7 linked regions of the Xenopus tropicalis genome follow. The protein of the gene in region 1 binds, or shares a complex with, the protein of each later gene. Links are inferred from orthologs where the notes say so. Each region holds a gene or a part of one and is shown on either strand. Other genes may lie near its edges.

Region 1 (4,245 bases):
AAAGATATTCCACCAAGGACTTCCATGACCATAACTTTATACAGGTCATGAAACGCCAAGGTGACTTTTAATATCCTCATTTTATAGCATTGTGTGCATTATTTATTATAATACAGAAGATTTGATGAGTCGTGATAAAAATTACATCACTAAACACCGATTACAACTGATGACCATTTACAAGGCTATAATTTACAATAAATTCATGGCTCTTGTTTATTATATGTGTATATATATATATATATATATATATATATATATATATATATAAATCTAGTGAATATTGGTGCACACCGGGAATCATTTTAAAAAAATAGCTTTTATTGTAGTAAATACAATACAGGACAGGCCTGTCCTGTAAATGTATTTTCTACAATAAAAGCTATTTTTTTTTTAAATGATTCCCGGTGTGCACCAATATTCACTAAATTTTTATTTTTAATGTTTAAGTGGTAGCACCTGGGTCTTTTGACCATGCTTAGGAGTGCTGAATCAAAGTGTATATATATATATATATATATATATATATAGTGATTTTTTGCACTACAGTTGCATTTAAAATAAAGTTACATGTACAGGTATGGGATCCCTTATACGGAATCCCGTTATTCAGAAAGTTCCAAATTAAGGAAAGTCCATAGACTCCATTATAAGCAAATAACTCTAATTTAAAAAAAAATGATTTCCTTTTTCCCTGTAATAATAAAACAGTACTTTGTACTTGATCCCAATTATGATTTAATTAATCCTTACTGGAGGCAAAACAAGCCTATTGGGTTTATTCAATATTTAAATGATTTTTTGCAGACTAAAGTTATGGAGATCCAAATTACAGAAAGATCCCTTATACAGGGCTACCCCAGGGGAACCTTGTAGCTAATGCCTTGTCCAGGGTTCCCATGCACCAACTGGCGCAGCAGCAATCAACATGAAACAGGATGCAGGCAGTGGCTATAAAGCACAACTGTACAGAAATGCAAGGAGCACCTTTTGACTTAACTACATTTAATGAATGGGGGTTTTAAATGCAACACACAGTAATATTTGTGGAAGCACACAATGACCCATTAGGTAGAAGCAAAGAAACTGGGGTAAAGTAAGAATTGGATTTTTGGGTGTTGCTATTTTCCCTTTCAGATATTAGGCCCACACTGGCAATCTGTAGATTCTGGCAAATGCCAGAGGGGCTTCTGTAAGATGCCATAGTCACTCACTATTTATTGGGCTGTTTGGGTCTCTGTGTGCTTGAAATGCCAGGGCCACCTTGTGAATATCAAATAATTATTTCCTATAAACCACATCACCTTTTAATATTTTCCACGTTCACAGCTTTCCCTTAAAAAATATGGCGCACCGTGAGTTCGCACGCCGCCATTCTGCGGCCCTCGTCTTGCGCATGCGCACAACATACCCTATTTGTCGCATTTGCTTTGTGTGGAGGGATACCTTGCGGTTATCCTGTAAACACGCTCTCAGCGTTAGTCGGTATTTGGATGTTGCCGAAAATATTATGCTACACTAAGAGATCATTTTTATGTTATAATTGAAGTAAAACGTCCAGACGGATCATCTGGAAAGCCGCTCCTAAAATCGCGGATTGATACGTCGAACTACTTTTCGAGGAAAGCGTTCCGATATTACCACCCGGCGCCATTTCACAGGCAAGACTGACAGGCCGCTGCAGAAACCGAATATCGACACTCCACCACCGACATGGCGGCATCTGTGGGCAGTGTGGCTGATAGCACAGGTAGGATTTTTTTTTACAATTTAGACGTTATATACCAAAGCCAGATGGGCCTTGTATCAGTGGCTCCGGTAACGTGTGAGTGGGGGTCAGTGATAACAAAGCAGTTCTGAGGGCGCAGCCTGCATAGCCAGAGTGTTAGCAGCCAATGGCAACTGTACGTGTGTAGATCTTTGGCCAGTCCTTAGGATAGCTTTAGGTAGTTGTTGGAACACTACAGCCCCCATTTAAGGTGATGTTTGGGATGCAGGGAGAGTAGTTCTGCAACAACTAGACCTCTGAAGGTTGCATGTTGCTGGCTTGGATTACCTACCCATAGAAGCAGTGTTTAGCCCATATCCTTAGACGTTTATAACAGTAATTCTACTAACAGCAACAATGGGCTTTCTGCCAAACAGCCTAATCGTTGTTATACATTCATTTATGAGATATTTATTATCCCATTATAACATAAAATACACTTGTACTATAGCAGGCTGCATAGTTCAATAGTCTCTAAATACTGAGTTGCCATACATTATAGGCTATAGATAGATTTGTATGTATAGACACCTGGCAGGGAAGACTGGGTTAAGGAACAGTAACACCTAAAAATGAACGTGTTTTAAACTAATAAATAATGTACTATTGCCATGCACTGCTAACACTGGCCTGGTTGGTTTAAAAACCCTACTATAGTTTATATAAATACCCTGCTGTATAGCCATGGGGGCAGCCATTCAAGCTGGAAAAAAGGAGAAAGGGCACAGGTTACATAGCAGATAACAGATATGCTCTGTAGAATACAATGGTGTTTTATCTGTTATATGCTATGTGCCTGTGCCTTTCCATTTCTTTTTCCAGCTTGAACTGCTGCCCCCATGGCTACACAGCAACATAACTATAGAAATTATAATAGGGTTTCTTAAGCAAACATACAACTTTTACCAGTGCAGGGCAACAGTACATTATGTTTTTATTACTTTGATACATTTTCATTTCTTAGCGTTAAGGTTTCTTTAAGGCTTTGTATGTGAAAAGGTGGCCAGGTTAATGGAACAGTTAGGCACACTTCTTGGATAGTAAGATTTCTTTCACTGTTGCTATGACAGAGGGAACATGTTTGCCCCAAAACCTTGCGTGACATGGCGAGATGTGAATTGGGCACACTGAGAAAAAAGTGATGCCATTGATAATGCAAGTGTGACCTCTGTGAGAGAATATGGTGGGGGCACGGGACATGATAGTGAGAGAAAAGATGTATCATGCTGTTGATTATATTTGTATGTCCCTGTAGTTGCGTATGACCTGCCAGGATAAGTATTGGGACCACTGGGGCTGTGACAGTAAGAGGAAAAAGACAATATATTCTGGATAACACGTTTATTCTTATAGTTGTTTCTGTTCTGACAGTATGAGTATTGGATCACTGGAGGTTTGGCAGTAAGAGGAAAAATACATCATGCCATTGGTAACACTTGTATGTCCCTGTAGTTGCGTATGACCTTCCAAGATGAGTATGGGAACCATTGGGCTGTGACAGTAAGAGGCAATAGACATTGTCATTGATAAAGCAATATGTGTCTTCATGTAACCTGGCAAGATGAGTATTGGGGGGCACTGGAGCTATGGCAGTGCTGAAACATACGTCATACTAGGAATACATTGTGTCCCCATAACTGTGTGTCACTACTAGGGTGAGTATTGGGGGCTCTGGTGTTATGGCAGTAAGAGAAAATACACATTATGCCATTGATTACGTGTATGTGTAGAGCTGGGCGGTATGACCAAAAATTTATATGACGGTATTTTTTTTTTTTTTTCCATGCATGATTAGGTGTTACCCCATTTCCTAATAAATTAGAGAATAATTACTGCAGTATTGAAAATCAGAGTCAGGCAAGCGAAGGATCGGCAACAGAAAGTCGTAAGGTAAATCAGGCAGGCTTAGTTTCCCAGGCAAGGCCGCAGACAACATAGCACAGGAGGAGGCGTTTGATAGCTTTAAATACCCCCCACGCATGCGCAGAACCGGCGCCATCAGCGCCTTGCGGACGTGCACGCTTTGACATGTACGTGCGCGCTTTGACATGTACGTGCGCTTTGACGCACGCGCACCGTCCCGCGGACAACGGGACGCGCGCGAGACCGGGAAGCACGGGTGTTTACCCTGACACCCCGGTATTGCGGTATCTGAAAAATGAATATAGTTTAAAAAAAAAAAAAAACAACCGGTATTCGGTATTAAACGGTATATCGCCCAGCCCTATGTATGTGTTCTTTTATCTGCATGCGACATGGCAGGGTGTGTGTTGTGCTCACTGGAGATTTGGCAGTAAAGAGAAAAACATCATATAGGGATAACAATGTTCCTGTAGTTGTGTATACTGGGGGCACTGGAGCTACAATAGCGAGGAAACATATTGCACTAGGAATAACAAATTGGTGCCCTTTTAACAGTTGTATGAGTTGGGTTTTTTTGTTGTGATTATGTTATTTGTTCAATTTTAACTTCTGCT
Region 2 (3,500 bases), on another chromosome or scaffold:
GTGAGAGTAGGGGCTGGGGAATTTTGGGTGACCGTTGGCGTATGTGGGTTTATTATCAAGGAGACATTGGAACTGTCCACTGATAAGCCTTGGCCACCAGTTGCCAGCTGGAACGACGGCTGAATGTTCCCTTGCTGGGCCAACTGATAAAGCGGGACAGTGAGAGCCTTTAGGAATACAGCTTGTGGGGAGACCCCCTCATTCTCTGCGGGATGTTTGGAAGAGATATCACTGGCAGCGGCGGATGTGGCCCATGGGAACTCCGTTGACAAGATTGAGCTGCTCGACATTTCCATTTCGACTCCTTCTCACCAACAACTCCAGGGGCCTCTCATCAACCAGCTCTTCTGTTATAGGAAAAGAAAAGAATTGTATCAGGGGCGGCTGATCTTAAAGCAAAACTCAACAACCTACTGTAGCATTAGAGTAATTGCCTTACTCCTTACACTCCTGTTTGTTTACCCAGTGTTACATTGCTGGAACATTGCTGAAGACTTCATTGTCAACAGATGGGAGGAACCATCTCATAGCCCCCAACCACTAACGGATAAGCTCTATGGAGATTGAGTGTTTCCATTCCATTCCAGTAATAATATTAGTATTGATTCTCGCAGGGGTCACCCTAGTGTGTCTCTACTATTGCTACCTTGCCCAGGGCAAGGATAACTGCCCCCTGAGGCAGCTTGTTTTCCACCAAAAGATGAAGCCTATCTGTAACATTGGCCTCAAGTGAATGCATTGACTATGAATGGCATTCGGGACAACTGAGCTGCCAACTGCCCTCCACTGTTATTATCATTCTTACCCTCCCGTGAAGCCACGTCAATATCCAGGTCTAATTGGCAAGCACAGGGGATGCCACGAATACCACTGTAAATATCAAAGGCAGCCGGGTTCATTGTGTAGCAGTGTATACATACAATTTACTTTGTTTTTACACAAATCATGAAAAGAGAAGAACATTCAATTTCATGTAATTATCAATACTGAGAAGGGAATAGGAGATTCTTTCCATGAAAATGAGTAGGGAGGTTCGGCCAATGGGCTGGCAGTTTAATGACCCACGTGACATGATTTATTGTGTAGAACAGAAGAGAAGGAGAATGAAAGCTATCGTGCCATAATATACTGTATATGGGCAACCGGCGGGGGTATATTCATTAATTATGGGGGACCGGCTGGGATATGTTGATTAATTATGGGGGACCGGCTGGGATATATTGATTGTTTATGGGGGACTGGCTGGGATATATTGATTGTTTATGGGGGACCGGCTGGGATATATTGATTGTTTATGGGGGACCGGCTGGGATATGTTGATTAATTATGGGGGACCGGCTGGGATATATTGATTGTTTATGGGGGACCGGCTGGGATATGTTGATTAATTATGGGGGACCGGCTGGGATATATTGATTGTTTATGGGGGACTGGCTGGGATATATTGATTGTTTATGGGGGACTGGCTGGGATATATTGATTGTTTATGGGGGACCGGCTGGGATATATTGATTGTTTATGGGGGACTGGCTGGGATATATTGATTGTTTATGGGGGACCGGCTGGGATATATTGATTGTTTATGGGGGACCGGCTGGGATATGTTGATTAATTATGGGGGACCGGCTGGGATATATTGATTGTTTATGGGGGACTGGCTGGGATATATTGATTGTTTATGGGGGACCGGCTGGGATACATTGGATATTTATGGGGGACCGGCTGGGATACATTGGATATTTATGGGGGACCGGCTGGGATACATTGGATATTTATGGGGGACCGGCTGGGATACATTGGATATTTATGGGGGACCGGCTGGGTTACATTGGATATTTATGGGGGACCGGCTGGGATACATTGGATATTTATGGGGGACCGGCTGGGATATATTGGATATTTATGGGGGACCGGCTGGGTTACATTGGATATTTATGGGGGACCGACTGGAATACATTGGATATTTATGGGGGACCGGCTGGGATACATTGGATATTTATGTGGGACCGGCTGGGATACATTGGATATTTATGGGGGACCGGCTGGGATACTTTGGATATTTATGGGGGATCGGCTGGGTTACATTGGATATTTATGGGGGACTGGCTGGGATATATTGGATATTTATGGGGGACCAGCTGGGATATATTGATTGTTTATGGGGGACCGGCTGGGATACATTGGATATTTATAGGAGATCGGCTGGGATACATTGGATATTTATGGGGGACCGGCTGGGATACATTGGATATTTATGGGGGACCGGCTGGGTTACATTGGATATTTATGGGGGACCGGCTGGGATACATTGGATATTTATGGGGGACCGGCTGGGATACATTGGATATTTATGGGAGATCGGCTGGGTTACATTGGATATTTATGGGGGACCGGCTGGGATACATTGGATATTTATGGGGGACCGGCTGGGATACATTGGATATTTATGGGAGACCGGCTGGGATACATTGGATATTTATGGGGGATCGGCTGGGTTACATTGGATATTTATGGGAGACCGGCTGGGTTACATGGGATATTTATGGGGGATCGGCTGGGTTACATTGGATATTTATGGGGGACCGGCTGGGATACATTGGATATTTATGGGGGACCGGCTGGGTTACATTGGATATTTATGGGAGATCGGCTGGGTTACATTGGATATTTATGGGGGATCGGCTGGGTTACATTGGATATTTATGGGGGACCGGCTGGGATATATTGGATATTTATGGGGGACCAGCTGGGATATATTGATTGTTTATGGGGGACCGGCTGGGATATATTGGATATTTATGGGGGACCGGCTGGGTTACATTGGATATTTATGGGAGATCGGCTGGGATATATTGATTGTTTATGGGGGACCGGCTGGGATATATTGGATATTTATGGGGGACCGGCTGGGTTACATTGGATATTTATGGGGGACCGGCTGGGATACATTGGATATTTATGGGGGACCGGCTGGGTTACATTGGATATTTATGGGGGACCGGCTGGGATATATTGGATATTTATGGGGGACCGGCTGGGTTACATTGGATATTTATGGGGGACCGGCTGGGATATATTGGATATTTATGGGGGACCGGCTGGGTTACATTGGATATTTATGGGGGACCGGCTGGGATACATTGGATATTTATGGGGGACCGGCTGGGTTACATTGGATATTTATGGGGGACCGGCTGGGATATATTGGATATTTATGGGGGACCGGCTGGGTTACATTGGATATTTATGGGGGACCGGCTGGGATACATTGGATATTTATGGGGGACCGGCTGGGTTACATTGGATATTTATGGGGGACCGGCTGGGATATATTGGATATTTATGGGGGACCGGCTGGGTTACATTGGATATTTATGGGGGACCGGCTGGGATATATTGGATATTTATGGGGGACCGGCTGGGTTACATTGGATATTTATGGGGGACCGGCTGGGATATATTGGATATTTATGGGGGACCGGCTGGGTTACATTGGATAT
Region 3 (3,500 bases), on another chromosome or scaffold:
ATGGAATGCCTTATCTACAAAGCCATTATCCCAAAAGCTCCAAATTACAGAAAGGTCACTTCCAATAAAGTCCATTTTAATAAATGATCTCTTTTTTTCTGTAATAATTAACAGTACTTTGTAGTTGATGGTAACAAAAGCTGGCTACACACGTGGTGATTTTCGATCCTTTGTGTGACCATCGGTCGCACGAAAGATCGTTCCAACCCTCCACTGACGTTCAGGGCTGAATCGTCAGATATGGAAATAGAAACAATAGGATTTCTACCTCCACCTGACGATTCAGCCCTGAAGGCAGATTTTGCTCAGGTGCCTTCTATGGCACCCGATCAAAATCTTCTAACCTGCCTGATCGGCGAGACGACAGACATCAGCAGCCTCCTGCGATATCGATCGCCTCGCTGAGTTGCCATTCACGGGCCGAATATCGTACAAAACGAGGTTTTGTACGATATTATCGGTGCGTGTATGGCCAGCTTTAGCTGCATGAATTCATACTGGTGGCAAAACAATCATATTTGGGTCTATTTCATTTGTACAGGAGAACTAAAGCCTGACGAGAGATGTTGAACATTATGTTTTGGGCTTCTAAACCAGCCCAAAGCAACCACAGCCCTTTAGCAGGGAAGATCTGTGCCCCCAAAGATGCCCGCCAGTAGCCTCCCATCTTCTTTTCTGCTGATCCACTGCACATGCTCTGGGCTGCGGTCATTTACCGAGCTTAGGGACAGAGAGCCGCACACACAAGGACTTGGCAATAAAGTGAAAAAATTTATTGAAAAAAATCCAACGTTTCGAGTACTGACTGTACTCTTCCTCTATGTATATATACATAGAATATAAACGTCACAATACAAAGCTGAATAGTAATTAATTCAGATTTTCATTAAGCGGCAGCTGTAAAACCAGTGGAATTAGCACCAGAATGTAATAATCAGCCCCATAGCATCAGCATCTCAGACAGGCAAAACTCATTTTCTGCTTGATCCCTAAACTAGAGTTTACAGAGTATGTGCAGCGTAACAGACCCTCCTAACAGAATCCAAGATAGGGTGAATCTTTGACAACTTTAAAGGCCTCGATCGTTAATAATATGGAGATGTAAAACCATTCGGCTGATTCAATAAGCATATAAAATATGGCATTTCTAGCCATATTTATTTTAAGGGTTTAAGTTCTCCTTATCAAGCAGTTTTGGGAACGACCCCTTATCTGGAAAACCTCAGGTCCCAAGCATTCCAGATAATAGATCCCATACCTGTATGTGTTTATAACACATTAATATGGAAAGGACAAGAAAGAACAAAGCAAAATGGTACCTGGTTGGCTTGTCCAGGCCCGTGGGCTGACTCCAGAGCCTTGTAAAGTCCTTCTGACATAAGGACCAAAAATCCAGTGACACCATCTAATGGCTGGCAGCCATGGATCTCTGGCTCTGCAGTAATAGGCTTGGATATGGCTGTGCTAAACAGGAAGAGAAAAGAGTGGATCAGTGAATGGAAGGACAAGCCTATTGTATGTAATGTGAAGCAAGCCAACTGAACTTGAATACAAGCATGCAACACCAGTGTGTGCTGAAAATCCCTTTGTATGACCTAGCACATACATTGTCATATGAGATGAAATCATGCAAGCAAAACTGGAGGGGAATATTCACTGCTCAGACATGTAGGCATTACACAAGTATTAGTGTCACTACCACGGCATCAGGGAAAATGACAGAAGAATTAACAACATGATGACGAATCCACTACCCACATAAATAACCTTGCTTATCTCCCACTGGCAATCTTCTTAGATCCTAAAAATGAATATGGCTAGAAATGCCATATTTTATATGCTAAACTGACTGCACTGGCCAAAAGTTTCAGCATCTCTGTAGCAGTAATGATATAGGTCTTTACAGTTGTCACAGGAGCTCCTTATCTTGGATTCTGTTTGGGACAGTGCACGTGCTCAGTGTGCTCAGGGCAGCTGTTGAGAAGTTAAGCTTAGGGTCCTTACAAATTATCAAGCAGAAAATGAGGCTGTTCTGTCATATAAACTGATGCTACAGGTTTGATTATTAAAATCCGATGCTAATTGCACTGGTTTCAGAGCTGCCATGTTATGTGAATCCAAATGAATCACTAATCAGCCTTATACTGTTACATTTATATTTTCAGTATATTTTGAGTTGGTCCCTAAGCTCAGTAACTGACAGCACAGAGCATGTGCAGGGAATCAGATGAGGAGCTACTGGGGGCATGGATCTTCCCTGCTAAAGGGCTGTGGGTGACTTAATAATGTACAACATTTTTAGCCTATTTCTTTAGTTAAGCTTTAGTTCTCCTTTAAAGGACACTACACCTTGATTTTTTCACCTTTGTATTTAACTAAGTTCTATTATTTTCATTTCCCATTGATTTTATAAAGGTATTACTGACTTTGCTTACAGTTGTATTCTTTCTAATCTGGTTTTGCTCTAGGCTTTCTGGTCACAACCTTCTTTATGACATCTGGGAATGTTAAGCAGGCCATATATGGGCCTATATTATTATTACCTTGACAACCATATTGTTTTGTATTCATTTTGAATCTGGTGTCTGTGCTGCTCATTTGAGACAGTAATGCATTTGCTAATAACCTCCATTTTCCATGTCCCCCCAAAGTAATTTCTCTGCTGCTTTTGATATTTTTGTGGCATAACTATGTCATGTCAGGTCCACCCAATAAAAAACCTGCGTACCTGCAACCAGCCCCTCCCTCCTTAGCCAGCTGCTAGCCCTGTTCACGTCCCCTGTTGTTAGGGTTGCCACCTACGGTTTTGACCCAGACAGCACAGTTTTTGGGAGGACTATCTGGGTCAAAATTCCCTGCCTAGAATCCCTGCCAGGACTCTTAGCTTGACAGTGGCTTGACTCCGCCCCTGCCATCACCCACCATGTCCCCGGGATTCGCTCCGTCGGAAGGAGGCAATCCTACCTGCTCTCCACCTGCTTGTGCCACCCACTTTTAGGTATGCAAAAGACTGGGGAGCAGGCAGGTACTATTGTTTGTTTTAGACAGCCTACTCATGCTGGAATTAATGTCCCTGCCACAAATTCACCTTTAAATCCAAGCTAAAATCCTACATCTTAATCTGGGGCAATCAGCGTCACAGTCATATTTGGCCAATAACAGGCCAGTTAAACAAGGGAAGTGTTAATTTAACATATAGGCAGTTGTAGTGCTTTTCCAGGTGTTCGAGGCAGTGGGCCAGTGGAAGGATATTGCCCAAAATATATGCCATTCATGTGGGGAATAATGTACTACATATAAGGATAATGTAAACATCCAATATCGCCAGAACTAAACTTGCATACATCAGCACTTCTTCATCCAAAAGTCTCAACAAACACACACATATATATATATCAATCCAAATGGTGTCCGCACTCCAAGGCTCAATATTCTGCGGGGTGCATATATATATAATAGTTTCTGCCCTCTGCTAGGAATTAAGTGATGTGGGTACATGA
Region 4 (3,992 bases), on another chromosome or scaffold:
ATTTACAAAGCATTCCCCCATGAAAGAGATCAATGGAATGAAATCTGGGAATCTCTTAATGCCCTGACCAACCTAGGCCATGTGCTGAGCAGAAGTCCCACTGTAAATAAGTATTTAAATATACTATATACTGTAGTATATATTTTTTCACAAATATGTTTCCTTTTTAGCCAAATAGGGATCAGATGTGCTGGTTGCAGCAGATATTGTTGGCAACCAGGACAAAAGTGTAGTTCCCAGTTGGGGCTTGGTCCAAAGGCACCATGAGCAAGAGGCTGAGGGTTGTATCATTCACAACTAGGAAAAAAAAACTTTTTGTTTCCAGTCACAAGTCAGTACTTTCTGCAGATAACAAAATTAATTTTACTTTTCGTTAAACATTGAGTGCAGAGACTGCAAACAACTAGAAAAAGTGATAACCTTCTTGTGCAGATATATATGACTTGATACAATGTTGGGCACAGCTGCTCCAGCAGCAGTAGTTATTGGGCTATTACCCACACTCATCAAGAATAAAACAAAGTCGGATTTTTGTTCCCCAACACAATTAAAGGGGTGGTTAACTTTTAGCATGTTATATAATCACCTATTCTAAGTAACTTTTCGTTGGTCTTCGTTATTTATTTGTAATAGTTTTTAATATATTTGCCTTTGCAGCTTTCAAATAGAGGACACTGACCCCGGCAGCCTCTCCTATTCATATATCAGTCTCTCATCCAAACCACCCCCTGGTTGCTACGTTAACATGGACCCTAGCAACCAAATAACTGCTTACAATTCCAAACTGGTGAGCTCCTGAACTGAAAATGAAATAACTTAAAAACTACAAATAATAAAAAATGAAGACCAATTGTACATTGTGTGAATATGACTCTCCGATCCATAGTTAACTCAAAGGTCAACGACCCCTTCAACAGTGGGCTGAGACACAACTGCATAGTCGCAGCTACATTTCAGGAACAGAGGCGCTATCGCCTGCCGTCAAACAAGACAACCAACTCGAAAAGTCTTTTTCATGTTCCTTTACAAAAACCGAGGCCGCAAGCAAAGATACAACCCTCACAGTCAACAGCAGCTGACCCTAAATGGCTACCACCTCTTACTAACTTGTACACTGAAGCGCTCCACCCATTCGCGTCACTCACTCACGCAAGGCTCCTACGTATTGCGGCACTCTCTCACGCAAGGCTCCTACGTACGCGTCACTGCGTTATTACGTGAGTTCGTGACGTCTCGCGAGATGAGACTTGAGATGTCGGGATTCGCTGTTCGGCAGAGGCTGAGGTGCGGAGCGTTTTAGCAGCGATCCGGGCTGCGGGTTGTGTGAAGCGGCACTGTTGGGCGGTATGCATGTATGTTACACAGCCGTACTTCAGCTCGCACAGGGCTTAGGGTGCGGAGAGCATACGCCTCGGCCCCTCACAATTTTAGGGGCGTCACCGTGGAAACAAGTAATCATATAATAGATGTGTGTCCTGTACACATCAGGGATGTACAAGTTGTAGCCTTCCGCCTTTTGTTTATCTGCAGCTCTCTGCATCTCCTATAGATAGTTAGCTCTCAGGATCAGGGCCCTCTTTACCTCCTGTGTTTGAATGTATGGTGTATTCACTCTGCTGTTGTACAGAGCTTGCCACCTTATACATCCATGTTAGTAATGATAGCTGTGCTGATGCAGAGTGTTGCATTGCCTATGAACTCCATGACATTTTGCCCTGCATGTTGGTTGCCCAACCATCCTGGGGCCCCCTCAGTGCACATTTGTCCCCAGTGACACTTTCTGTCATATTCATAATGTAAGAGGGAGCTTAATTAGTAGGTTTGTATTTTCCCATTGTATTGTTGCCTCATTTTCTGACATCACGTCATGACATGGGCAGATTTAGGGTGAAGACACACGGCTACTAGTAGCAGCTACTTGTCATGGCTACAGAACTAGACAGTGCTGATCTTTTACAGGGTATTTTTTTGGTGATTAGTAGCTGTAACAAGTAACTGCTACTGAGTAGCTCTGTGTGTCCTTGCCCTTAAAGGAACAGTAACACCAAAAAATGAAAGTGTATAAAAGTAATTACAATATAATGTACTGTTGCCCTGCATTGCTACAACTGGTGTGTTTGCCTCAGAAAGACTACTATAGTTTATATAAGTAAGCTGCTGTGTAGCCATGGGGGCAGCCATTCAAAGGAGAAAAGGCACAGGTTACTTAGCAGATAACAGATAAACCCTCATTATATGGGGCTTATCTACTAGTTATCTGCTATGTAACCTGTGCCTTTTCTCCTTTTTTCCAGCTTGAATGGCTGCCCCCATGGCTACACAGCAGCTTATTTATATAGTAGCTTTTCTGTAGCAAAAAACACCATTTTTTTGCTGGGCAGCAGTACATTATATTTTAATTACTTTAAAGGAGAAGGAAAGGCTAAGTCACTTGGGGGTGCCAAAATGTTAGGCACCCCCAAGTGACTTAGAACGCCTACCTTGTACCCCGGGCTGGTGCCCCTGTACGGAGAGAACAGCACCAGCCCGGGGTAGCTGCCGGCGCTTCCTCCTTCCTCCTCGCTGCGCGCGCATGCGCAGTAGAGTGAAAAGCCGAACTTAAACATTAAAGTCGGCTTTTCACTCTACTGCGCATGCGCCGGCCGGCGGATTTCGCCGGCAGCGCGCAAAGGAAGGAGGAAGCGGTGTCTACAGGTGCCCCGGGCTGGTGCTGTTCCCTCCGTACAGGGGCACCAGCCTGGGGTACAAGGTAGGCGCTCTAAGTCACTTGGGGGTGCCTAACATTTTGGCACCCCCAAGTGACTTAGCCTTTCCTTCTCCTTTAAAACACTTAAATTTTTTGATGTTACTGTTCCTTTAAGCATCTTACCTGCCTGTTTATGGGCCCACCCTGGCTGATTACCTGATGAAAATTGGGCAGATACTTATCAAGCAGGTTTGAAAATATTGGCAGGCAGGGGCTGGCATTGGTGTGTTCATGCGGTCTTCTCCTGACACTATAGGCACCTATTATGATCCATTCATTAGCCCAGAGACTAAACAATTGGATCAGCCCAATTTGGCCCAGAACGTAGGTGGTCAAATTGGGCAACAATAGAATCGTTTGGCAAAAGTCCAGATCTTAATGTGTATAGTTAGCAGGGAAGACCATAAGAATTTTTTTTCTGATTGTACAAATATTTAAATATTATCTTACGTATTTATCAACACAACTTTGTCAGTATTCATGTTCAAGCTGATGTGAAGGGGTAAGTAGTTTACCTTTAAATTAAAGGGCATTTATCATAGTAAAGTTTCTACCTTCACTGGTGGTGCTGTCTGGTAGAGCTTGCAGTCAGTTCTTTGTTGAGCAATATGCCGTCTGCCCCGGAGGGAGCTCCCAGTATGGGTGGATACATTGGGGCACACGTGCTCATTATGAGTGTGTGCCCCAGTTGGCTCACTGTATGCATGCGTGTGGTGTAGGATAAGGGGGACGAAATCACCAATCCTGTGTCACAGGTTTTCCTCTTCTGACATTGTCTAGCTTTCATTGGGGTCCTGTTTTGTCTACAGTTGTATTATTTATTATTGTCTTTCTATTCAGGTCCTCTTCTTTTAATCTTCCTGTGTTTTATTAACACCAGCTTGTTTGCTACCATCCCTTTAATAACAATTTTGTTTATTGTACTGAAGGATTAAGAGTTGTGTGTGTATTTGTGTAAGGGCTTTTACAGGTGGGGTTTTCTGTATGTTTGAGACAAAGGTTTAATCGCACCTTCTTGTTTTAACACGTTAAAATATAATTGGGAAATGTATATTTATCTAGAAAAGCTACAAATTGGATGGGTGAAGTTAAGTGCCAGAAGCACATGACATGCTTCAGGCTATTTTTTGGGGGAAATGGGTCCTCTAAGGTCCCTGTAACACAGGTCTGGGCTAGGACCCAAAACAGGCCCTGGTATTTCAAGTACACAGAGGCCCAAAAAGCCCCTCACCAGCCCAATAAATAG
Region 5 (3,500 bases), on another chromosome or scaffold:
TGTCCTGTCTGAGCTGCTATTAAATCCCCAGACAGACTGTCGAACCCCCAGCCATGCAGCACAAGGGTCACATGATTCCATGGATATCCACAGCAGGGGAACATAAAGGCAGGTGGGGGGATGATACAAGATCCTGGGGCCCTAAGATTGTTGCACAATTACAGCTTTCATCCCACCCAACCCAAGCCCGCACTAGGAAAATATAAATGCATTCATCACCTCTTAAAAACCATCCCATGCTGTGTGCACCATTAGGAGTATGGCATTATTGGTTGTGCCCTACTAAGCTGCCTGACTATATGTATATTTCAATCCCAACCTGGATTTTGTTGTGGAATGGCCACTGCTGTGTGTGGAAAGTTCCGTAGTAGTGCGGACTGATGTGGATGATTAAATACTCTGTAACGGGCAGGGTCATGTGTTAAATGAGTAATAATACTTTTTCATGGTTATATTTAAAGGGCAAGTAAAGCCATCCTACAATAAGGCGTGTTCTGGGATGTGCTGGCAAAATTTTACCAGGTCCCAGCACAGAGGAGCTGTATATGTTTCAGGGCTCCTATTCCGCCTTTCTTACAAACATTACCTGATCCCCATCCAGTCAGTGTTACTGGGCAGGACATTTTACTCCTGCATTTAGTTAAGGTCTCAAAGGTTTATTATAGGGGCAGTTAGCTTTGCAATTTATTTATTATTTTAATTTGGCCATACACAGGCCAATAAAAGATGCTGACCTGTCCATTCTGACCAAGATGGCAGCCTATAGGCCCATGAAAAATAGGCCTCTGCTTTTGGTGCGTAGCCCCCACCGACAGGACAAGTGGATAAACAGCTGCTTCCATGCACTCAGATGTTTTGCTGCATTGAACTTCCCTCCCACATACAGACTGCTTTTACCAAGGGATCTGGGTGACTGCAGGTTCATTGTGGAGGATTGGTTACTACATAGTGACTCGCCAAACGCCTTCCTTCTGCTTAATATATAGCAATTCCAAAGCCATTCTGCCCACCCTCCCTTTCAATTTCTTATAAAAGAGTCAAACCCATTTAGGGAAGTGGTGCATGAGGCTATTTGCACTGGTTTTCTGCTTGGTGGGTAGGTGGCAGAATACTAGGAATTGCCTCTCCATTGATGGTTATAGTACCCTGCTGGTGCGCTTGCAGATCAGGTGATTACCATACATAAGCCAGCATTTTGCCACTGAGTGAGTGTGCAAGAAGCAAAATATTAGGAATAGCCCAAAACAATTAGAAAGTGATTAATTTTTGCGGGGCAAACAACCTTGGCCTTCTGTCCTTTTGTTTGCATTATGTTACATTAACTGGGCACATACCAATCCATGTATAGTTACTCAGAATACTTTTCTGGGCAATTTTGTGTTATTGTATTAGCAGTTTTTCACTGTTGATATCATGAGCCCCCTGCCCTTGTGTTCTGGTGGATGCAAGACAGAAAGGCAAAAAGCTTTAATTTACTTGTGCAAGATGCATCTCCTGACACTTCTCTGCTAGTTTCTGTTGCTCCTGTCACATTGAGTGTAGAGCGCCTGTTGGCATTACTTGCTCCTTTATATTATAACCAAAACACCACTAGAAAGGGAAGAGCCAGTTAAGTCACAATAGACCCACCCCTAGTACCTTTCTGAATGGTTTGGCCTGGGGGCTGAATTGTGTATGTGCCGTGTTGGCTGGGTGTGACCAACTAGGTCTTGTCATAGCCTGTAACCCAGAGAGATGCCATAGAGCTGTGCCACCCTTGGTACCTCCTGCACAGAGCACAATACTGCGGATAAGCGCTCTGTTGGTGACCCTAATATAGCAGTAAATACCAGCTGCCAACTCAACTGGCCAGCATTTTACTGGAACAGTCATAACTTTTATTCCTTGTTAATTAGGATAATGGTTAAGGGAGTCATGGGACAATTAAATACGATCTCCCATCATTTTATTTGTGTGCAGGAAGCGCCGGTGTGAATGGAGCTGGGCCCAGGAGCGTGCGGATGTGGTGAGTCGATGGAACTGGCTGCAAGCTCATGTCTCCGACCTGGAGTACAGGATTCGCCAGCATACAGATTTCTACCGACAGCTCCGTTCAGGGAAGGTAAGGAACCAGGGAGGTGATATAGGGCTGGTTTCTTCTAAATGCCCCATGCACAGTGAATCTGCTATTAACATATGGCCTGTCTGTTTGTCCCTAGGGGCAAGTGGTCCTGGGGGAGGCATGTCCTTCCGAAACAGCTGGGGAGCCTCTGCGCTCTTCCCTTCTGGACTCAAGAACGTCCTCTTCTCCTTCACCAGATGCAGAGAGGCGGGTGAGTTGTGGTTCTGTGAGGAGCAGCATATTTGAGGAGTGGATTTGGGGGTGGGTATAAAAATGAAGCTACTATCGTTTTGTGCACATGGTGGCTATTTGCTTGTATTTTGCTGCAGGAAAGGGCAGACTTCCCTCCTGTAAATAAGCGTGCAGATGTCTTAACCACAGTCAGTTGGGGGTTAATGTCATAGCTAATGTCATGTGATTGTCTCTTTTGTGTGGATTTAATTCCCTGCGTCTGTTTCTTGTTCTCTAGCGCCCCCTGCTGTTGACACGTGTATGCAGCCATGCACCACGTGAATAAAAATAAGCATGTTAGTCCTGCACACTTGGCTCATTTCAGGGCACCAAACAATAAACATGGCTTAATTTTTTTTCTTGTTAACAAGGACGTCAACTTTTTGTGCTTCTTCATAGGCTGATTCCAGCACCACAGAAGCCAAGTCCTTGCAAAGACCGATTAATGGGATTGTTAACATGTAAGTAGTAGTATCTTTTTTGTATTTTCTTATTGTATGGATTTTATATAAATTAATATAATACATACACACATACATGTTTCAATAAGGAAAAAGGAAGAAATCTAAAAGCATGAAGGACCGATCTATGTTTCTTAACTCACAAGTAAGAAGGTTAATAGTGAAGCATTTAAAAATTGCAAATCAGAGGGGCAGACATTTCTTTTAGGACCGATAAATACTACAAGTGTTGTAAAACACCAATGAAGAAGGGAAAAATAGAAAATGAGGAAGAGATTGCTTCACGTCCATGGACTAGTTCCAAAAATGTATAAATTATGTGAGTTGAGATTGTTGCAGATTATGCATGGTTTGCAGAACATTTTGGAGGGCTCCTGTCTCCCCTTAGTCTTAGCCTTAGTTATTTCATTGGCGTGTGTTTATCGGCACAGTCAGCTGAATGAGCAGCCCCAGGTGGTAAACTGCTTTGATAGCAAGGAAGCCTGCCTAAACCATAGCAGGGTGGGGGATATTAGTTTCACATGCCCCTGTTGGAGAGGTGAATCCGGCAAAGGCTACCAAATTCTTCATATGCAGGTTTTAATGCTGTTACTATAAGGTTTTATTTGTATATGGAAGCATTTCAGGCTCCTGGCAGTATCTGTATTGAAATGTGATGTTTGGCATTCTTTTATTTCACCCTGCGTATTTCTCTTTTTTTCTCCACT
Region 6 (4,074 bases), about 36 Mb from region 1:
CCTCTTTTCTTTAACCCTTTTGCTTAGCCAACAGGGCTCAGCTTTTTAAGTGGACAGGAGGTTAGGCCTAGCCTCTAGAGAGGCTCTGCCTACTACCAAGGCCACGTTTGCCCACTGGATTAACGAGGCAATTAGGCTGTTCCTGTGTCCCCCATGATGTAAGAGAAATAGGGAATGTATCCTGTGTTATCATTTTACCCCTCAATGAAGAAACACAAAAACATATTCTTCCCAACGGTAAGTCAATCAGGCCTCACCGAGCTCACGTCCCAGATTTTTAGAGTTTTATCGTCAGAAGCAGAAACCAGGAGGTTGGAGTCAGAGGACCAGGCGACATCAGATATTCCCTGAATATAAAAATAAAAAGAATAAATAAATAAAAGTTTCACTAATCGGATTTGATTAAGGGGGTTTATATTTCTTAACCAGTGCCAAATTAAAACACATGAAATCCCCAAGCCCGTCTATAAATTAGGGAGGCCCCTGGGGAGGTGTCTGGCAAATGCAAACTCTAATTGGCTTCTGCTGCACGGCGCTGGGGGGATAAGGTGCAAAACAGTATGGGTTTAATGTTACACGAAGCAGACGCTGGTGGAATTTAAATATATGGTGCTACAGGAATTCAACACCGGCTAGACGCGAGCAATAACAACAAAAGGTTCTTACCAACTTGTGGCCGGATATGGTTTTTTCAAACTTGCCGTCGTACGCCCCCCATATTTTGATTAACTTGTCGGCCGCTGAAAAGAACAAAAAAGTGACACTGTAGTTTCTTTAGGGCAAAGACATAACGATAGGTGGAATGTCACTTACATGAACTGGCGAGCCACTCCCCGTTCGGGCTGAATTTTACAGATGATACGGCCTTGGTGTGTCCGGCGAGGGTGAACTTTAGCGTGTAATTTGGCTTTACTGGTGCAGGCTATGAATAGAAGAGAAAAATGGGGATTTCAGAAATGTATTTTGCAGACATTGAGGCAGAGAGTTGGGGGAAACAATAGTTTTAAAATAAAAAACAGCCCCCTACAGTGACAGGGAGCCCCCAGGGCAGGCAGCCATGTTGTATGTAACCGCTGCACAAACCTGAAATTTGTCACATTCAGCACCCACCCCCTATATTTCATCTCTCTACAAACATCAGAGCCGCGTATTGGAAAGTACCCAAAAGTTGGTTGAGTCGAACGTATTCATGAGAAACCAGAAACAATTCAACTTAAATTCATAAAACTCCCAACCCTGGGTGAGGATCTACTGCCATATTTCAGTATATGAATGAGGAATGAATGGATATTGGGGAGTTGTATCAGGAGTCAGAACCAGCAGTGCAGAGAAGGGAAAGGGACAGACACAGTGACAGTTACACATAACTATAAACCCAGTGAGAATGAGGGATGAATGGATATTGGGGAGTTGTATCAGGAGTCAGAACCAGCAGTGCAGGGAAGGGAAAGGGACAGACACAGTGACAGTTACACATAACTATAAACCCCAGTGAGAATGAGGAATGAATGGATATTGGGGAGTTGTATCAGGAGTCAGAACCAGCAGTGCAGGGAAGGGAAAGGGACAGACACAGTGACAGTTACACATAACTATAAACCCAGTGAGAATGAGGGATGAATGGGTATTGGGGAGTTGTATCAGGAGTCAGAACCAGCAGTGCAGGGAAGGGAAAGGGACAGACACAGTGACAGTTACACATAACTATAAACCCAGTGAGAATGAGGAATGAATGGATATTGGGGAGTTGTATCAGGAGTCAGAACCAGCAGTGCAGAGAAGGGAAAGGGACAGACACAGTGACAGTTACACATAACTATTAAACCCAGTGAGAATGAGGGATGAATGGATATTGGGGAGTTGTATCAGGAGTCAGAACCAGCAGTGCAGAGAAGGGAAAGGGACAGACACAGTGACAGTTACACATAACTATAAACCCAGTGAGAATGAGGGATGAATGGATATTGGGGAGTTGTATCAGGAGTCAGAACCAGCAGTGCAGGGAAGGGAAAGGGACAGACACAGTGACAGTTACACATAACTATAAACCCAGTGAGAATGAGGAATGAATGGATATTGGGGAGTTGTATCAGGAGTCAGAACCAGCAGTGCAGGGAAGGGAAAGGGACAGACACAGTGACAGTTACACATAACTATAAACCCAGTGAGAATGAGGAATGAATGGGTATTGGGGAGTTGTATCAGGAGTCAGAACCAGCAGTGCAGGGAAGGGAAAGGGACAGACACAGTGACAGTTACACATAACTATAAACCCAGTGAGAATGGGGAATGAATGGATATTGGGAAGTTGCTTGAAAATACATTTTCTTTAGTCAATATTTTATCTTGGGTTGACATCCCCTTTAACTTTTAGTATGTTACAGAATGGCCAATTCTTGGGACCTCTTACTAAAAGTTAATTTTCTAAGATGTATATTTAAGTAGGAAAAGAATATGTAACCCTTTGGATCCTATAACCCTACTACACTACCCACCTATAAGAGGCCCTTTATATTAAGGGTATATTTAAAAAGCCAGAGGCGGATATATTTCCCCTTTAACATTACCCTTTATAAGCAGGATTAATGATCCATAACTGCTGGATTTCACACAAAAGTAACACCCAAAGCCTTACTGGAAGCATCTTGGCCGCTCCACATGTAGAAGAATACCAACCTTGCTCTGATTATTGGACGAGGATGGGGTGGATTGCGTCTTGGAAGCTTCAGTTTCGGGTTTCTTTTCTTCTGTTGCCATGGTGCAAGAACTGGAATGGGGCCCCTTGAGTTAGCAGATGGCCACTCCCACTATGCAGGCTAGGTGTTTGTAAACAAAGAAAAGGACATAATTAGCAATATTTATTACTTATTTACTACTATTTGTACCAGAAGCCTTTCCAGAATAATGTATTTATATGTGGTATGGGGTTCTCCTATTGTGCACGTGTGAGCATTGTGTAACAGTACAGGCAGTAGTGGGGCTGTAGATTTTTTGGGGAAACATTGTGGCCAATAGGGAGACCTTTCTGAGGGGGCGTGGCTGTTTGGGATATAATGGTATGGGGGGCTATTGGTGTGGCTGTGGGGTTAAAAAAAGAGGATATATAAAGGTATGGGGGCTATTGGTCTGGCTGTGGGGGTATAAAAGAGTATCTATATTGGTATGGGGGCTATCCGTGGGGGTATGAGGGAGGATATATCATGGTATGGGGGCTATTGGGGTAGCTGGGGGTATGAGAGAGAATATAAAGGAAAGGTATGGGGGCTATTGGGGTAGCTGAGGGTATGAGAGAGGATGTAAAGGAAAGGTATGGGGGGTATTGGGGTAGCTGTGGGTGTATGAGAGAGCATATATAAAGGTATGGGGGGGTATGGGGGTAACTGGGGGTATGAGAGAGGATATAAAGGAAAGGTATTGGGGCTATTGGGGTAGCTGAGGGTATGAGAGATGATATAAAGGAAAGGTATGGGGGGTATTGGGGTAGCTGAGGGTATGAGAGAGGATATAAAGGAAAGGTATTGGGGCTATTGGGGTAGCTGTGGGTGTATGAGAGAGGAGATATAAAGGTTATGGGGGCTATTGGGGTATCTGTGGGAGTATGAGAGAGGCTATATAAAGGTATGGGGGCTATTGGGGTATCTGTGGGGGTATGAGAGAGGCTATATAAAGGTATGGCGGCTATTGGGGTATCTGTAGGGGTATGAGAGAGGAGATATAAAGGTATGGGGGCTATTGGGGTAGCTGGGGGGTATGAGAGGGGATGTAAAGGAAAGGTATGGGGGCTATTGGGGTAGCTGTGGGTGTATGAGAGAGATATAAAGGTATGGGGGCTATTGGGGTAGCTGAGGATATGAGAGAGGATATATAAAGGTATGGGGGTAACTGGGGTGTTTGAGAAAGGATATAAAGGAAGGTATGGGGGCTATTGGGGTAGCTGGGGGCATGAGAGAGGATATATAGGAAAGGTATGGGGGCTATTGGGGTAGCTGGGGGCATGAGAGAGGCTATATAAAGGTAAGGGGGGTACTGGGGTATCTGTGGGGGTATGAGAGAGAGATATAAAGGTATGGGGGG
Region 7 (4,197 bases), on another chromosome or scaffold:
TGGCAAGCCGTCCGTGCCCATACACAGGCCGATAAGCTGCCGGAATGGGTTCGTGTATACCCACCTTTATACATGGGGTTGGGTTGACAGATGTATGTGCAGGGATACTGGTCACAGACAGCAGCTAAACAAAAAATATATCAATAAAGCACACCTAGACTCAAATTGTATCTAGTAATGTTCCAAGATATTTGCACAGGCCTAGGGTCTGATTGTGTGTGGAAGGTGAACTGCATCTATAAGAACGTCTGCACAAAAGACTCATAGGAGATTAAGGAGACGCATGTGACCCGGGTGACACATGTGAGATTACAATCACTGTTGTGTTTGTCAAAAAAGGAACATCACTTTAAATTCTACTGTAACTTTAAAAGGGCTGGAAAATATCCGTTTAGCCATATTTTTATCTATACTGTGAGTTTTCTGACCCATTTCCAGTAGTTATTTTTTCTCTCGGACAGTGACATCAATAACGTAAAATAAAGAACAAAACCATTCAAACCACAGATTTAAGGGCGTAAAAAGAATAAAGTCTGCCTTTCCTTATGGTAAATATCTAATAGAGCAGAACCACGTGTGCATATAAACTACACAAGCAAAATACCTACTATTATTTAAAGCAATAACTCCTTTTCACTTCTGCAACCCATTACAGACCCCGCAGGGTTTCAGCACCCAAAGCCAGACAACCTCTTGCCCCAAGGGCTCTCTTCACCTCTTGTATCGGTTATTGATTGCTTTATATGTTGCTCTGTATGTCCAATGTATGTAACCCACTTATTGTACAGCGCTGCGGGATATGTTGGCGCTTTATAAATAAATGTTAATAATAATTATAAATACTCCTCAAACCCACTAAAAACACCACAATTCTTCCTATAACCTGCCCTTGGGGTATGTACAATTTGCAGCTCCCCGGATCTTGCTAAGACACAGCCTTGATTCAAACCTTCTAAAATCCCCAGCATCCCAACAGCAAAAGGTCATTGGTGCTGAACTGCAGTTGTGTCTCTGTTGCTGAACTATAACTACCTAACAGTCACTGATGCTGTGAGTTACATAGTTACATAGGGTTGAAAAAAGACCAGTGTCCATCAAGTTCAACCCATCCAAGTAAACCCAGCACACCCAACCCACACCTACCAATCTATACACTCACATAAACTGTTGAAGTTCAACCACAGCTGGTGCATCTTTACTTTATTGCTATCATGTTGAGCTGTTAAACCAAGCTTTATATTGGGATTGTTCAATATCTACTACATTGGTTATTGCCCCACTGAAGTTCCTTGAGGTCAATTCCCTTGCAAGCCAATTAACCTGTGTGTTACTACTGAGCGCAGCAGAAAACCTACAGACGTAGGTAAATCATACAGACTCCTAGCAGGTTGGTTCCTGCAGGAATGGAAATCTAGACCCCAGGGCTCCAGCCCCCCAGTCACAGCATATTCCCTGTCTCAGAAAAGAGATGACTAACATTGTTATAATGGACTTTTTCTTAGCCGTCCTCATCCAAGTTCTGCTCTACGGACAGCGGTTTGGCTGCCCCTATCTGTACCCCCCTACAGACAGCTGTGCGTGGCCCAGATTGGCTGCGCATCCTCTGGGTGGGTTTGAATCCTGGAAATGACCGATGTTTACAAAGTTCACCAACAGGTTGCGTCACACAGCCACACAACATGGCTCGGCTTCCCCTGCCCACTGATTTGTATTCAGTGCAGCAAAATCCCATAAGCACTGATTTAAAGGGACAGTTTTATATAGGAGTAGCATTTACCATCAAGGGGCCAGATATGTTAACCCTTCACATAGTAGGAAGGCTGGGACCCCATCCTATGGGTAAGAGGGAGTAATAGAGTTCTGGGATAGCCACCATGTGATCCTACAACTAGATGAACTGCAACTCCCAGCACTCCAACTAAGCCAGGCTGTTTGAAGAATAATGAGATGATACAAAATATATATTAAAACGTTGCTGAATTGCACTGTACCTATATCCAACAATTTCAATAAATTCGTATTTTTCCCCCAGATGGGGTCCCCCTGAAAAGCTGGGGATCCTAGGCACCCTAAAGCCCTGGTCATTCCATCTTCTTTATATAAGATAACGGAAGACCGTATCTCCACATGGCACAACGTTTCGACCGCGTTTCCTTTAGACAGCAGCGTCTTTTAAAGGGACTTCAGAAAGCATGGCAAGTACCGCCCCTCCGCGCTCATTGGTTCAAGCAGCCGTCTGTCAAGCTATTCTACGCACGTAATTGGTTCCCTTACCGCTCCATCATTATCAGGCAGGGAAAAGACCGGCCGCTGCAGGCCTGCCTTCCCCACTCAGCAACCTTTCTCTTCACCCCCAAAACCTTAAAAAAATACATAAAGTAATGGCGGAGAGTCCCGGAGGCGCCCCCCCACCTGCATCACAAGTACAGGGAATGAGCGCCCCGCCCATGTGACCATTGTTCTACCCAGCAACCGGCAGCCCCAGCATCCCGCCCCTGTCAGCAGCAGCAGCAGCAGGATAGAGCACGCAGTACCTGAGCTCTGTCACTCCTTGGCTTCTCTTCGCTTTTCCTTAGTAATTTCCCTCCGACTTTCAACCTTTCCACCTCCCGGTGTGTCAGTGAGCTCTTCCAGTCACATATAAATCATTATCCTCCCTCACAAGAACAGGCACCACCACCGCCTCCTTCTTTTTTCACACTGCGCGGCATGGCAAGGCGCGCCCCCGCCCCATAACACTTAATGACACGGACGCGCACCTACAGAAGAGAAGGGGACGGCTGTACAACGGGGCGCGTACCCGCGTTCTGGGCGGGGAATTCGATTTTCCCCGCCCGCCCCGCCAGGAAAATAGCGGGGCAGGGATTGGTCAGCGCGGTCAGCTGATGAATGAGTTTGGCGCGGTTTTTCTGTGCGCTCCGCCCCAGACCTTCCTGAGAAAGAATTGGCTGTGGCGCATGAGGGAAGTGATGTGCTGACTCACTGTAAACTTTGTGACAGGCGCAATGTCTGAAGGAACAAGAAAAATGCGTGGATATGATTTAGTCTGGGTTGTGTTTTAGGTGTGAGCACGTCATGGCCACCCAGTAGCAAAGGCCTCTAGCAGAAAGGCTATTTACTGTGTGACAATTGTTAGGTGCTTTGCTGGTTACGTCAGTCACGACCAACCAATGGCCCTCCAGCTGTTATACTGCACCTTACCAGCCCACAGCCTTACAATAAATCCTGGCATGCAGGTGCTGAGTCTCACCAGGTGCTTTATTTTGTATTTTACTTTTAATTTGATTGGGGGTGTGAATTAAGAATTAGAAAAGGATTTGGGTTTTCAGGCCCAGACTGGCAATCTGTGGGTTCAGGCAAATGCCAGAGGGGCTGCTGTAAGGTGCCATAGACAGTCACTATTTATTGGGCTGGGGGGGCTGTTTGGGCCTCTGGGTACTTGGAATGCCAGGACCCAGGCCCAGACTGGCAATCTGTGGGTTCAGGCAAATGCCAGAGGGGCTGCTGTAAGATGCCATAGACAGTCACTATTTATTGGGCTGGGGGGGGGGCTGTTTGGGCCTCTGGGTACTGGGAATGCCAGGACCCAGGCCCAGACTGGCAATCTGTGGGTTCAGGCAAATGCCAGAGGGGCTGCTGTAAGATGCCATAGTCACTCACTATTTATTGGGCTGGGGGGGCTGTTTGGGCCTCTGGGTACTGGGAATGCCAGGACCCAGGCCCAGACTGGCAATCTGTGGGTTCAGGCAAATGCCAGAGGGGTTGCTGTAAGATGCCATAGACAGTCACTATTTATTGGGCTGGGGGAGGGGGGGATGTTTGGGCCTCTGGGTACTTGGAATGCCAGGACCCAGGCCCAGACTGGCAATCTGTGGGTTCAGGCAAATGCCAGAGGGGCTGCTGTAAGGTGCCACAGCCAGTCACTATTTATTGGGCTGGGGGGGCTGTTTGGGCCTCTGGGTACTTGGAATGCCAGGGCCCAGGCCCAGACTGGCAATCTGTGGGTTCAGGCAAATGCCAGAGGGGCTGCTGTAAGATGCCACAGACAGTCACTATTTATTGGGCTGGGGGGGCTGTTTGGGCCTCTGGGTACTTGGAATGCCAGGGCCCAGGCCCAGACTGGCAATCTGTGGGTTCAGGCAAATGCCAGAGGGGTTGCTGTAAGGTGCCATAGACAGTCACTATTGGGCTGGGGGG

The links.
Region 2: the proteins of ogt (region 1) and znf831 are in contact, whole or in part, in a crystal structure (PDB 8FUF), measured with the Homo sapiens proteins. The link is inferred for Xenopus tropicalis from reciprocal best matches to the Homo sapiens genes OGT and ZNF831. Residues at the interface, in NP_858058.1 of Homo sapiens: Phe723, Ile734, Met779, Ile787, Ile790, Asn791, Arg792, Gly793, Leu808, Ala809, Thr831, Arg832, Ser833, Gln834, Tyr835, Gly836, Leu837, Pro838, Glu839, Arg877; in NP_001371283.1 of Homo sapiens: Phe937, Ser938, Pro939, Lys940, Tyr941, Leu942, Leu943, Arg944, Leu945, Pro946.
Region 3: the proteins of ogt (region 1) and tab1 are in contact, whole or in part, in a crystal structure (PDB 4AY6), measured with the Homo sapiens proteins. The link is inferred for Xenopus tropicalis from reciprocal best matches to the Homo sapiens genes OGT and TAB1. Residues at the interface, in NP_858058.1 of Homo sapiens: Asp441, His506, His508, His509, Asn567, His568, Pro569, Gly641, Tyr642, Thr643, Lys644, Ala646, Gln849, Phe878, Pro904, Val905, Ala906, Pro907; in NP_006107.1 of Homo sapiens: Pro389, Val390, Val392, Pro393, Tyr394, Ser396, Ala397, Gln398, Ser399.
Region 4: ogt (region 1) and kansl3 share a complex: the UniProt entries of both Homo sapiens proteins name them as parts of the NSL complex. The link is inferred for Xenopus tropicalis from reciprocal best matches to the Homo sapiens genes OGT and KANSL3.
Region 5: ogt (region 1) and kansl1 share a complex: the UniProt entries of both Homo sapiens proteins name them as parts of the NSL complex. The link is inferred for Xenopus tropicalis from reciprocal best matches to the Homo sapiens genes OGT and KANSL1.
Region 6: ogt (region 1) and wdr5 share a complex: the UniProt entries of both Homo sapiens proteins name them as parts of the NSL complex. The link is inferred for Xenopus tropicalis from reciprocal best matches to the Homo sapiens genes OGT and WDR5.
Region 7: ogt (region 1) and phf20 share a complex: the UniProt entries of both Homo sapiens proteins name them as parts of the NSL complex. The link is inferred for Xenopus tropicalis from reciprocal best matches to the Homo sapiens genes OGT and PHF20.

The regions. Positions count from the first base shown.
Region 1 is NC_030684.2:44,085,390-44,089,634, reverse strand, and holds the start of ogt (UDP-N-acetylglucosamine--peptide N-acetylglucosaminyltransferase 110 kDa subunit), read left to right. Parts: upstream 1-1,445; 5' UTR 1,446-1,713; coding exon 1,714-1,750; intron 1,751-4,245. UniProt on the Homo sapiens protein: Catalyzes the transfer of a single N-acetylglucosamine from UDP-GlcNAc to a serine or threonine residue in cytoplasmic and nuclear proteins resulting in their modification with a beta-linked N-acetylglucosamine (O-GlcNAc).
Region 2 is NC_030686.2:3,178,641-3,182,140, reverse strand, and holds part of znf831 (zinc finger protein 831), read right to left. Parts: intron 348-3,500; 5' UTR 297-347; coding exon 1-296.
Region 3 is NC_030680.2:120,893,810-120,897,309, reverse strand, and holds part of tab1 (TGF-beta-activated kinase 1 and MAP3K7-binding protein 1), read right to left. Parts: intron 1,465-3,500; coding exon 1,320-1,464; intron 1-1,319. UniProt on the Homo sapiens protein: Key adapter protein that plays an essential role in JNK and NF-kappa-B activation and proinflammatory cytokines production in response to stimulation with TLRs and cytokines.
Region 4 is NC_030679.2:125,205,363-125,209,354, reverse strand, and holds the start of kansl3 (KAT8 regulatory NSL complex subunit 3), read left to right. Parts: upstream 1-1,192; 5' UTR 1,193-1,284; exon of another isoform or gene 1,285-1,352; intron 1,353-1,365; exon of another isoform or gene 1,366-1,451; intron 1,452-3,992. UniProt on the Homo sapiens protein: Non-catalytic component of the NSL histone acetyltransferase complex, a multiprotein complex that mediates histone H4 acetylation at 'Lys-5'- and 'Lys-8' (H4K5ac and H4K8ac) at transcription start sites and promotes transcription initiation.
Region 5 is NC_030686.2:17,274,763-17,278,262, reverse strand, and holds part of kansl1 (KAT8 regulatory NSL complex subunit 1), read left to right. Parts: intron 1-1,959; coding exon 1,960-2,101; intron 2,102-2,198; coding exon 2,199-2,312; intron 2,313-2,731; coding exon 2,732-2,793; intron 2,794-3,500. UniProt on the Homo sapiens protein: Non-catalytic component of the NSL histone acetyltransferase complex, a multiprotein complex that mediates histone H4 acetylation at 'Lys-5'- and 'Lys-8' (H4K5ac and H4K8ac) at transcription start sites and promotes transcription initiation.
Region 6 is NC_030684.2:8,199,565-8,203,638, forward strand, and holds the start of wdr5 (WD repeat-containing protein 5), read right to left. Parts: upstream 2,801-4,074; 5' UTR 2,758-2,800; coding exon 2,677-2,757; intron 923-2,676; coding exon 814-922; intron 741-813; coding exon 667-740; intron 348-666; coding exon 258-347; intron 1-257.
Region 7 is NC_030686.2:42,973,796-42,977,992, reverse strand, and holds the start of phf20 (PHD finger protein 20), read right to left. Parts: upstream 2,801-4,197; 5' UTR 2,535-2,800; intron 1-2,534. UniProt on the Homo sapiens protein: Methyllysine-binding protein, component of the MOF histone acetyltransferase protein complex.